Linked DNA regions of Caenorhabditis elegans. The protein of the gene in region 1 purifies or fractionates together with the protein of each later gene. This does not show direct contact. Each region holds a gene or a part of one and is shown on either strand. Other genes may lie near its edges.

Region 1 (5,532 bases):
TTTTCCAGTCTCTTAGAATATGAAGATCTCCGGATGCGAGTATCCTTAGAACATCGTATCGAAGATTTTGAAAATATTGTTGAAGAACTTGCAAAGAGAGCAAAATCAGACGCAGAAGCAGGGAAAAATCGAGAAGTTGAAGCAAGAACACTTTTTGAAAATATTCGGTTAGTTTCACTTTTTGCAAAAACTGGATTAATGAATATTTTAGAAACGGAATACTAATGAATGCAATAGAAGTTTCAAAGCAACCCCATTGGATTTCAAAACCATACTTCAGATTGAAAGAGGTACTTTATAGACAAATAATTATGTCAGATTAAACACAATTTTACAGGTTGCAAAAGAATCGATTGTCGGAGAAGGAGAAAAGACTTTCCGAGAGAAACAGAAGGAAAAGCTTGCACAGACTGCAAAGGAAATGGGCGTATCTATGAAGTAAGACCACATTTCAAAAAGGAACTATAGTTTTTTTTAGCTTGCAACTTATTATATAACTTTTTACCAAGTTCTTAGAAACATTAATACATTTTAGACAAGCTCGTAAACGAGAACGTCGGCAACTATCAGGAGCCCGGATCCTTGAAGCAAAGAAGATCAAGTTCCCTCCATGTGCCCGTTGTGGACAACCTGCTGGACAAGGATGTGCTAATAGCAAATGCAAAAAATGTTGTAGATATCAGAGTAAACACGAATTATTGGATTGTAAACGTAGGTTTTATGAAGGCCCTGAAGTTTCAATATAATTTCCAATTTGCAGCTCATCGCTATCTCTTCGCTAGTCAACCTCCTGCTGTCAGCGCTGAAAACTGAATTCTTGTGTGATCTTTGTCCAAAGTTGACTGGGATTTTTGAATTGTTAATTTCTGTTGAATTTGTTTTTTTTCTGTTGGAAACTTTTTGAAAATATATGAATTTTAAAGAATCAATTAATGAACAATTAAAGAACGATAGGACACAATTATTTAGATGAATTATTGAGGCTTTTCGTCAACGAGTCTCATTATGACGCCAAGGCGATCCGCAAGATTTTTCTGAAAAGAGATACAATTATGAAATCTATCGATAAAAATGTTTACCAAATGATCAAGTTGTTTCTTTTTATAAACAATTCCTCCCAAATCATCACACATATTCATGTGAGCTCTCTCTGGATCTCCAGGTACTTGTGGTGGTCTTGATGGGTTTATTGGGTTAAGGTTGCGAGTTTCATCACAGAATTCTTGAAGACGATTGGAAAATCCTGGAGCAAAGCACTCTGGGTCGATGGCAACAAAACATTGTCCCTGAATTGTAAAATAGGTTGAAAAGGAAATGAATCTAGATATTTGTGCTCGGTTATTTCCATTTGGAGAGTGATTTTGTAACATGCGGGAAGATAATCAAGTGGTGCAATTTTTTCGGACAACATTTTTTAAAACCAGTTTTATGGAAGTTTCCTAATTTTTATGAATCAGTTTCAAACGATTTGAATTAAAAAAATAAATTTTCGAAATCTCAGCTGCATCGATTTAATCTTGAATTCAATGAAATTTTGTATTATACTCAATTTAAGAAATGCAACTTTCAATTCAATCCTGCAGCGCTGGGTCTCAATACGATCAAAATAATTTTAGAGTATGGAGATGTGCCTTTAAAGGGTACGGAAGTGTCTCAATCTTTATTTTTAGCTAAGTAATACTTTAGGTGTTACCTGTTTTGGGATCGTTGAAATTTTTTTTTGAAAAATACATTTGCCACATATGTAGATAAAAACATATTATTTTTCGAGGTTTTTTTTTAATGTAAATATTCCAGTTCCGCCGAAGAACCAGTTTACAGAGACAATACACTCAATCTTACGCGAAAATTTGAATTTTTCCAAAACAAAAAAAGAAACTTCATGCATTCATGCAAAAGAATGTAAACGACCAATTGACATACATACCAGTTCAATGGCACTCACCAAATCCGCGCCCGGTTTCATCGAATTTGCCTCTTTGAGCAGCGGATTTTGAGGGTTAGTATAACTCACCAAGTCCGCTGTTTTACTAGTTGTCTGCCATTGACGAATGTTTTTTCCGAATGCTGAACCACCCATAATACCACAAAGAACTTCAACCATCATACAAAGTCCAGTTCCTATAAGAATTTTTTTGTGTGTTCACATGATTCCCTTTTTTGTATACCTTTATATCCTCCAGTGATCTCAGATCCTCCCAATGGTTGAAGACCACCTCCATCAAGAACTTCCTTTGGATTATGTGTCTCATCTCCATTTTTATCAGCACCCCAGCTTCCAGGAATATACGTTTCTCCTTTACGATCAACAACTTCAATCTGGAAATTTGAATGATTTTTAATCTGAAATTCAAAACGGAACTTACTTTTCCGTAAGCTACAGTAGTCGAAGCCATATCCAAAAAGAACGAATCTCCTTCCATTCCAGGTGCAGCCATACAAATCGGATTTGATCCAAGAGACTTCTCACGTGATCCAGTCGGAAATACACATGGAGATGTATTGGTAAAAGCCATTCCCTGAAATTGCATTAATTTAAGCAGGAAACCTAAATAAGTTTTGAACGTATAAAAGAGACCATATATTAAAATGATAAGGTGATTTCTCATTGTGACTTTAGACGACCAAACATATGTCGGGTTATTACATGCATAAAAGTTCAATTAAAGGAGCAATAATACGGTCTGTCACAACAGAAAAAGTTAGATCTGAGGCTGCAGAAAATTTTCGAAATCTCTAAAGTTTAGAGTCTAAATTTTTCTAACTTCTCTTCGAGACGAGATACCGAAATTTATAAAATGTGTAACAGCGTTTCAAATTTTTCACGTCTTCACTAAAGCAAATAAAGAATTATTCGCATACCACTAAACCATTCCGACAAGCAAAGTCAGCATACCATCCAGCAATACCAAAATGATTTGAATTACGGCATACTACCCATCCGATTCCAAACTCTTTGGCCTAAACATTTGGGATATTGTATACTTGTTTTACAAAATTTTAAACCTTTTCAACAGCCAATTGCATACAAAAGTTGCCAACAACTGGACCAAGAAGATTATTTCCATCAACCCATGCAGTACTTCCCTTTGATTTCAGAACTTGTGGTGTTCCTAAATATTTGTTTTAGAATTAAAATTCTTCAAAAATGATTTTTTAACAACCTGTGACAGCAGTGGATTTCATCATTAAGTCATGAACATAGATGTGAAGTCGATTGATTCCATGAGAATAGTGACCTCTTAAAGTAGTAAACAATAATATTTATCTAAAGAAAAGAGTGAAATACCTGTAATCAGAGCATAATAAAGTCTCAGCCAGTTGTTGAGCATGATCTCCGGTACATCCCGCTTTGGCAAGACACTCGAGAACAAAACTGTCGAGCTGAAAACATCCCGCTCTTGAAATCTATGTTTGAACAGCAATGTATTTAGATTTAAGATTATGGTTTTTTCCAATTTAATATCATTACTATTTATATGAAGCGCTATCATCTCAAACCTAATTCATCGATATCGAGGAGTACAGTAAGATTACTGTAGTGGTGTGGCAATATAATGATAACGGTAACAAAATAGTTATTAAAAAATTATTCAGTCTGTCAAATTTTTTTAAGACTGCTTAGCACTGTTCATACAAAAGTTTAAATTTCTTTTGAATAGAGTTGTTTACAGTAACCCACCTTTTCCTTGCTGATCACAATTTCATCTGTTTCATTGAATTCTCTTTTGTCTTTAATAGTCATCGTTTATCCAAAGTTGAATGTTACTTTTCCACTGTAAAATACTTTTTATAATATTATTAGTAAACTATCCAGTTAAAGATCTACGAAATATGTTTCTATCGCTTATTGCCAAATTTCATCAATAAGTCTTTCAGTATTTCTATTTAGAAACTTAATTGACCGAATATCATAGTAGAATTTTTGGATCTATTTTTGGCATTTATTGAAGTCTCTAGAATTGCTGGAAATTTCTCATAAAAGTTCACATTTTCTAATTTTGACATATTACCAAAACTTGTATCGAAAATTTTTAGAAAATATAAATAGAGGAAATGTTGAACTTAATTTTAGATTCAAAATGTTGTCTTAAAATTAAAATATCCAAAGAAAAGAAAATTTTATCAATCAAATAAAATGAAAATAATTATGAGGTGATGAAATAAGATCAGACTGGCCATATTTTCAAAGGACATAAAATACATTGTGTCGTTAAGAATAAGATGATGATAATAATGATGAAATTAATGAAAGAAAAATGATAGATCTTTGAATCCGTTTTCATTTGCAAATCAATTTTGATTGATTTCGTGTTTAATTGAAGCCTTTTTAAGTTCAAAAAATCGACTGTAATTTATTTATAGACACAATTCAAGTATTCCAAAAAGTAGCTATAAATAAATAGTTTTTTATCCGAAAATCAATTAAAATTTCGCAGAAACAAGTGGGCGGAATCACAGTACTCTTTTAAAGGGGTAGACCTTTTTGAAATAAAATATTTTTGTAATTCGTCGTGTCGAGACCGGGTACCGTAGTAATTTAAAAGTATTATTTCAAATTTAAAATCTTCGCATAATTAAGCATCTAAAGAACAGTTGAAGCGAATTTTATATGAATTCTTTGAAAATCAAACAACGAAATGAATTCATTCAAATAAAATTCAAAAGGAGCGAACAGAAAAAGATAATAAAAAAAATGATGAGACAAAGAACAAATCGACTAACCCATATAGCACAAGTAATCGAGTACGTCATCACAGAAGACATAGAAGAAATAAAAAAGAATGAAAGATAAGATATCAGTGATATGAAATGATTGAAACAAAGAATATATGCTATAGGAACAACTAATCTAATCGAATCGGCAAGTGCAAACTGAAAATCTTGAAATAAAATGATTTTTACAGATTCATAAATTGGCAACACTTCTAGATCTTTTTTTTTTGAAACAAAACAGATTAATTTCTAAACAATATCTCCAGTTAAAAAATTGCAATATCTACAATAACTATAATAAACACGGGTTACAACCTATTTTCTCATTGAGAAAAAATTGAGTCGACTTACTTCCTTCCCAAAGAATTCCTGACAAACCTGGCATTTTAATGTTGAAAATATGTTTCTTTTTTGAAATAAAAAATATCCAATAATATTCCTTCCATAAAAGGGGCGGGCCAAATAACTGGTTCAAAAAATGATCTACGGCCTATTTTTAAAATGAAATTGTGTACCTGTTTGAAATCATAAATACCGAAAAATTGATTTGATTATATTTTCTTTTAAATTTTCATTCGAAATTCAATGAGTCAAAGTGAAATGTATGAAATACGATTGAACAAAACAAAGGCTGAAAATGAGTTGAAAGCGGCGGTGAAAACCTCGAATTTGGATGTGAGAATTACAAAAAAGTGGGTAAAAGAAGAATGCACAAAAATTGGAACCTGTAGTATAAAGTCGAAAAACTTGACCAATAAGTTAGGTATAGTACATGGAAAAACTGAAGCACCGTCTTGGGGGGAATGGGAGATAATG
Region 2 (4,337 bases), on another chromosome or scaffold:
CCCAACAATGCTCCAGCTCTTCCCGCTCTTTGTGCTCAGCGGCTTCAACACCTCATTCTGGCTCTCAGTTTTCCCGACTGCGATGAGCTTTACCATGCAGAACTCAAAGTTGATCTACCTAGCAGCAGTCTATAGTCTAGGAGTTGGTTCCGGGGAGGTTATAAGTGAGTTTTGGACAATTTTGGGGATTGTTCAGTGAAATTTTTTTTGATTTTACTAAATTTCAATTTCAGTTGGACTAGCGATCTCATTCCTCAGCAAGCGTATCAAAGATTTCGGGCAAAAGCCAACTATGACGATTGGCGCAATCTTCATCACGATGTATTGTGCCATGATCCATATGTCTACTCCGTACGATGCTCCGATTAGGCCAACTAGCAAGGAGCCACTTTTTTTTGGTCATTCGTAAGTTTAACAGGTTTTTCTTAGTAAGTAGCAAATTTAATTTCAGCTACCTTTTGGCCCTAATCATAGGCTTATTTTGTGGAATCGGAGATTGCTGTGTAAATAGTGTAAGATCAGTGATTTGTGCGTTGCTGATGCCAAAAAGAAGACCACAAGCGTTTTCAGTGTCGAAGATTTATCATGTAAGTTAACTGGCTTGAAAAACTGGGGGCGTTAAAACACATACTTGCCTGACCTTAGGGCGACCGAAAGGCCGGCGTGAGGCAGGCAGGTTCTAGGCAGTCGTCAGGCCCTGAAACCGCGCAGGCTTACCATGGAAGACCTACGCATAACAATTTTCCAACTTATGTACATTAACGTTCTACCGGAGCCACCTAGAAACCATATTCCAGGCTTTTGGATCTACGATTCTATTCTTCATGAGCCCCATCACACCACTCTACGTCTACACAATCGGCCTGCCAATTCTCGCAATCATCGCCACAATTTTGTTCTTTTCCATTTCTAAAAGAACACAAATTATGGAACGGAAAATGACGGAGGCTAGCAAAAATGCTGCAGAAATTGGAAAGAAACTTAATTTTTAATTTTTTTTAAAACAATTTTGAAAATGTCATTTTGTGTCGGGTAAACCTTGAAATTTTTTTTGAGATGATGAAAGCTTTAAATGTTATCACACACGTTATCACCTATTTTTTTGCATTTTTGCGGTAGTTCCGTAGATTTTCGAATTTTTCACTTAATACTTCCAAACTTAAATTAATTTAATTTGTTCAATTTTTTTTCGAAATTTTAGTTTTTGAAACTTCGAATTAATCTCCAATGCATTTTTCTTGCAGATCTGTCCTAGGAGATCCGTTTCCCACTCTTCCGAATTAAAATATTATATTTTGTTTGATTCAAAAAAAGAATGCTGGTTCTGATCTTTCGATCATTTAACTGATAAGCGGTTTTCTTGCGAAATTCGAAGTTTAATTTCCGAGTTATCAGTAGAGTGTGTGCACGTTGCTTTTTAATGGGATGTAAGTTGTATTGGTCTTTTTGGAAAAAAAATACAAGAGAAATGCGAAAATCTACATCCTACAAACACTAGGAACAACGGAGGCTAAAAGGTAGGCAGCTAGTCGTGATAAGGTGCCTGCCTACCCTGGTGGCCTCTCGCCGATTTATTCCACCTTATCACACTTATGTTGAAATTTTAATCTTTTTTCTGATCACCACACCTCCTCACCACCCCTCATTTTATTACTTTACATATATAAGGTAATTCCCTTGGACACATTTCGTGACTCAGTTTCAGTTGTGAAATTGCCGAATTCCAAAAAAAAAAATGACATTTTTATCAATATTTTTAATTTCTGGTCTATTTCTGTGTGGCTCCGCTCAAAAGTTAATGAGCTTGAGCTCTTTCAAAGGCACAAACGTGAAAAATAATTTCAAAGCTCATGCACCGTACAATATTTATGTGTCCGCCGACTCGGACGCTGAATTTATTCTGCAGCAGATTTTCGTGATTACCGGAAATGAGCAGAACGTAACGTAAGTTTGAGCGTACCGACCAATAAACGAGACGCAGGTGGCGGGGCCATGACCTCTAATTGGTCAACTCTAATCGCGCGCCAGTTTTGATCTACAAGTCATGTTAGCTCAAAATCGTAACTTTTTTTGGGAAACGCTCATGTGATGTTTTCGAAAAAATCGAATAATAGTTATTAACTTAAATAAAAATGCTTTTCAGACTCCTCGATCTCAAAAAAAATCTTCAAGCTTCCGGAGAAATCACTGCATTCCCGGTTCAAAAATCTGCCTATATTACGACAACACTGAGTGATAATGAATTGAAAACACTTAATGGAGTGATTTATCTCAGCTCCAGGAAACAGCGAGCAGACAGTGAGTTGTATTTTCTAAATTGCCACTTTAGATCCTTTTTCCAGCCAATTTTCACGTTTACGGTGTTTCTAAATCTCCAAACATCATCCTTAGAGGAATGGGAAACTTAAACACCACAATTTTGTTCCTTAACACCATTATGGGAACGAATCCGTCTTCAATCATCAGTCAATGGAGCCAAGACTCTACCGCCCACGCATATCTGTACACTGATTTTCCACTGGATACTGCAGAAGAAACTAATACTCAAATTTTCTCGAACCCGATGCATACTGACAAAGCCGATTTGTATTTTGCAAATGTGGAAAAATTCTCGTTGAGCCTAGTAGCATTCTATCTGAAAACTTATCGAGGTGTCAATTTCAGCATTGAACCAGGATACTGTAAGTGGAATTGAGATTAAGGTCGCAACTTAAAAAAATGAATTCATTGAAGACAGTATTGATGGAAAAAGAACATCAGCCTTCACCACTACTGGATTCTATATGAAGCCCCTGGCCAGAAATGCTAGTACCATAACTGTTAATATCAAGCGAGATGTTAGATATTCTGGAGCTTCTGGTGCAAATGTAAGTTTCATTTTGATACCAAATTGTGTGCTCCAACATCGACAACTAACTCCCTACATTTAAAAATTCAGCTTCTCGGACATGTCCCAAAGCGGGGAAAAGTCACAGTAGGCTTTTATAACGGAGATTCAAAATATGAAGAATCATTCCCTCCAAGTTACTATTTCTCTCCATGGAGCATCCCATATATTGACTTTGAAACTTTCAAAGTTTCATCCACATCCTCAAACTCAACTGCTGAATACTACTTTGTGCAATATTTTGTCGCTCGTGAGTTGTTGTTTTCTAGATTTTTTGTAGTTTGAGGTATTCGAAATTTCAGAAGGTACTCTGTTCGGTAGTCCAACTTCAGGGCCCATTCAGACGGCAACTCAATCCTCCGGAGTCGTCCAATTATTCGTGTCAATGGCTATTTCAACAATGTATTGGCTGTAGCTTTTTGATGTTGACATTTATGGCCCAATTATAATATTATTGATGAAAAACGATGAAAAGTATTTCAGCTCACAATTGCACTTTAAAATGAAACATTTGTAAAATTTTGAAATTTTGCCGATTTGCCGGAAATTTTCAATTCCGGCAATTTGCCGAGTTGCCGACTTGCCGGAAAAAATCGTTTGCCGTCCACCCCTGATCGCGTACTAAACAGACCAAAAAAGTTCAACAAACCAAAAAAAATGTGTGAAAAATTGCACAATTCTCTGAAAAACGTCTGTCATCCTTTCTCCGCCTTCCGTTTGAACTTGTTCAGCCGATTATGCAAAACTTTTTAAACTTGCCTATTAATTCAGCCTAGAACTTTCCAACTTTCCGTCACCGCAGTTTCCACTCTCCGCAAATTTTCGGTTCAAAGTTTTTGAAACTGATATTTTTGTAAAAAAAAATGAATCAACGGCGATTCGAACTATTATGCGCAGCATTGCTCGGCTTCGGTCAGCTGTGCATAATGACTGGATTCGATTCAGAGTCGTTTATTCTAGAGTCTGTAATTCATTCGATTCATGAGAGAGAACCCGCAAAAATCAGCATCTATGCTGGGTATTATGGGTGAGTGGAAAGTTCAACTGACCAATCATTGAACATTTTAAATGTTATAACTTTGGTTTATATGTACCAACAATTAAACACAAAATATTTTCAGCCAAGCCGTGATCTATGCCTTCTACATGATAGCTTGTCTATTCTCGCCCTCCATAATAGCAGTGAGCACCCCGAAAACCAATTTGATAATTGCTTCCATTTTCTTCACGGCATTCCCTCTGGGCTTCCTGTTCACCAACTCTTATTACTACTACGCTTCGTCAGCATTGCTAGGTGTTGGGTTTGCCTGTAAATTCCTATATGCTGAAAAGTTATCGAACAAGAAAAATTTCAGTGTTTTATCAAGGCCAGGGAGGATATCTGACGTCACACTCTACAAGAAGAACTATAGAATCTAACGTCTCACTTTCTTGGTCTGTTGGATGTTGT

What was found.
Region 2: the proteins of F36A2.3 (region 1) and dod-20 fractionate together in Caenorhabditis elegans (co-fractionation; one large-scale study listed by BioGRID). This does not show direct contact.

Annotation. Positions count from the first base shown.
Region 1 is NC_003279.8:8,797,029-8,802,560, reverse strand, and holds F36A2.3 (Malate dehydrogenase), read right to left. Parts: upstream 3,777-5,532; 5' UTR 3,746-3,776; coding exon 3,683-3,745; intron 3,385-3,682; coding exon 3,290-3,384; intron 3,242-3,289; coding exon 3,165-3,241; intron 3,114-3,164; coding exon 3,007-3,113; intron 2,962-3,006; coding exon 2,863-2,961; intron 2,520-2,862; coding exon 2,367-2,519; intron 2,320-2,366; coding exon 2,169-2,319; intron 2,122-2,168; coding exon 2,015-2,121; intron 1,287-2,014; coding exon 1,080-1,286; intron 1,035-1,079; coding exon 975-1,034; 3' UTR 913-974; downstream 1-912. Other genes in the region: F36A2.2 (tRNA-dihydrouridine(16/17) synthase [NAD(P)(+)]), read left to right, coding at 9-167, 212-290, 338-438, 536-711, 761-813.
Region 2 is NC_003283.11:420,763-425,099, forward strand, and holds dod-20 (Downstream Of DAF-16 (regulated by DAF-16)), read left to right. Parts: upstream 1-1,670; 5' UTR 1,671-1,735; coding exon 1,736-1,944; intron 1,945-2,143; coding exon 2,144-2,298; intron 2,299-2,342; coding exon 2,343-2,681; intron 2,682-2,733; coding exon 2,734-2,867; intron 2,868-2,938; coding exon 2,939-3,137; intron 3,138-3,189; coding exon 3,190-3,302; 3' UTR 3,303-3,415; downstream 3,416-4,337. Other genes in the region: Y39D8A.1 (UNC93-like protein MFSD11), read left to right, coding at 1-164, 234-405, 452-587, 798-992; B0554.5 (UNC93-like protein MFSD11), read left to right, coding at 3,751-3,914, 4,009-4,196, 4,243-4,337.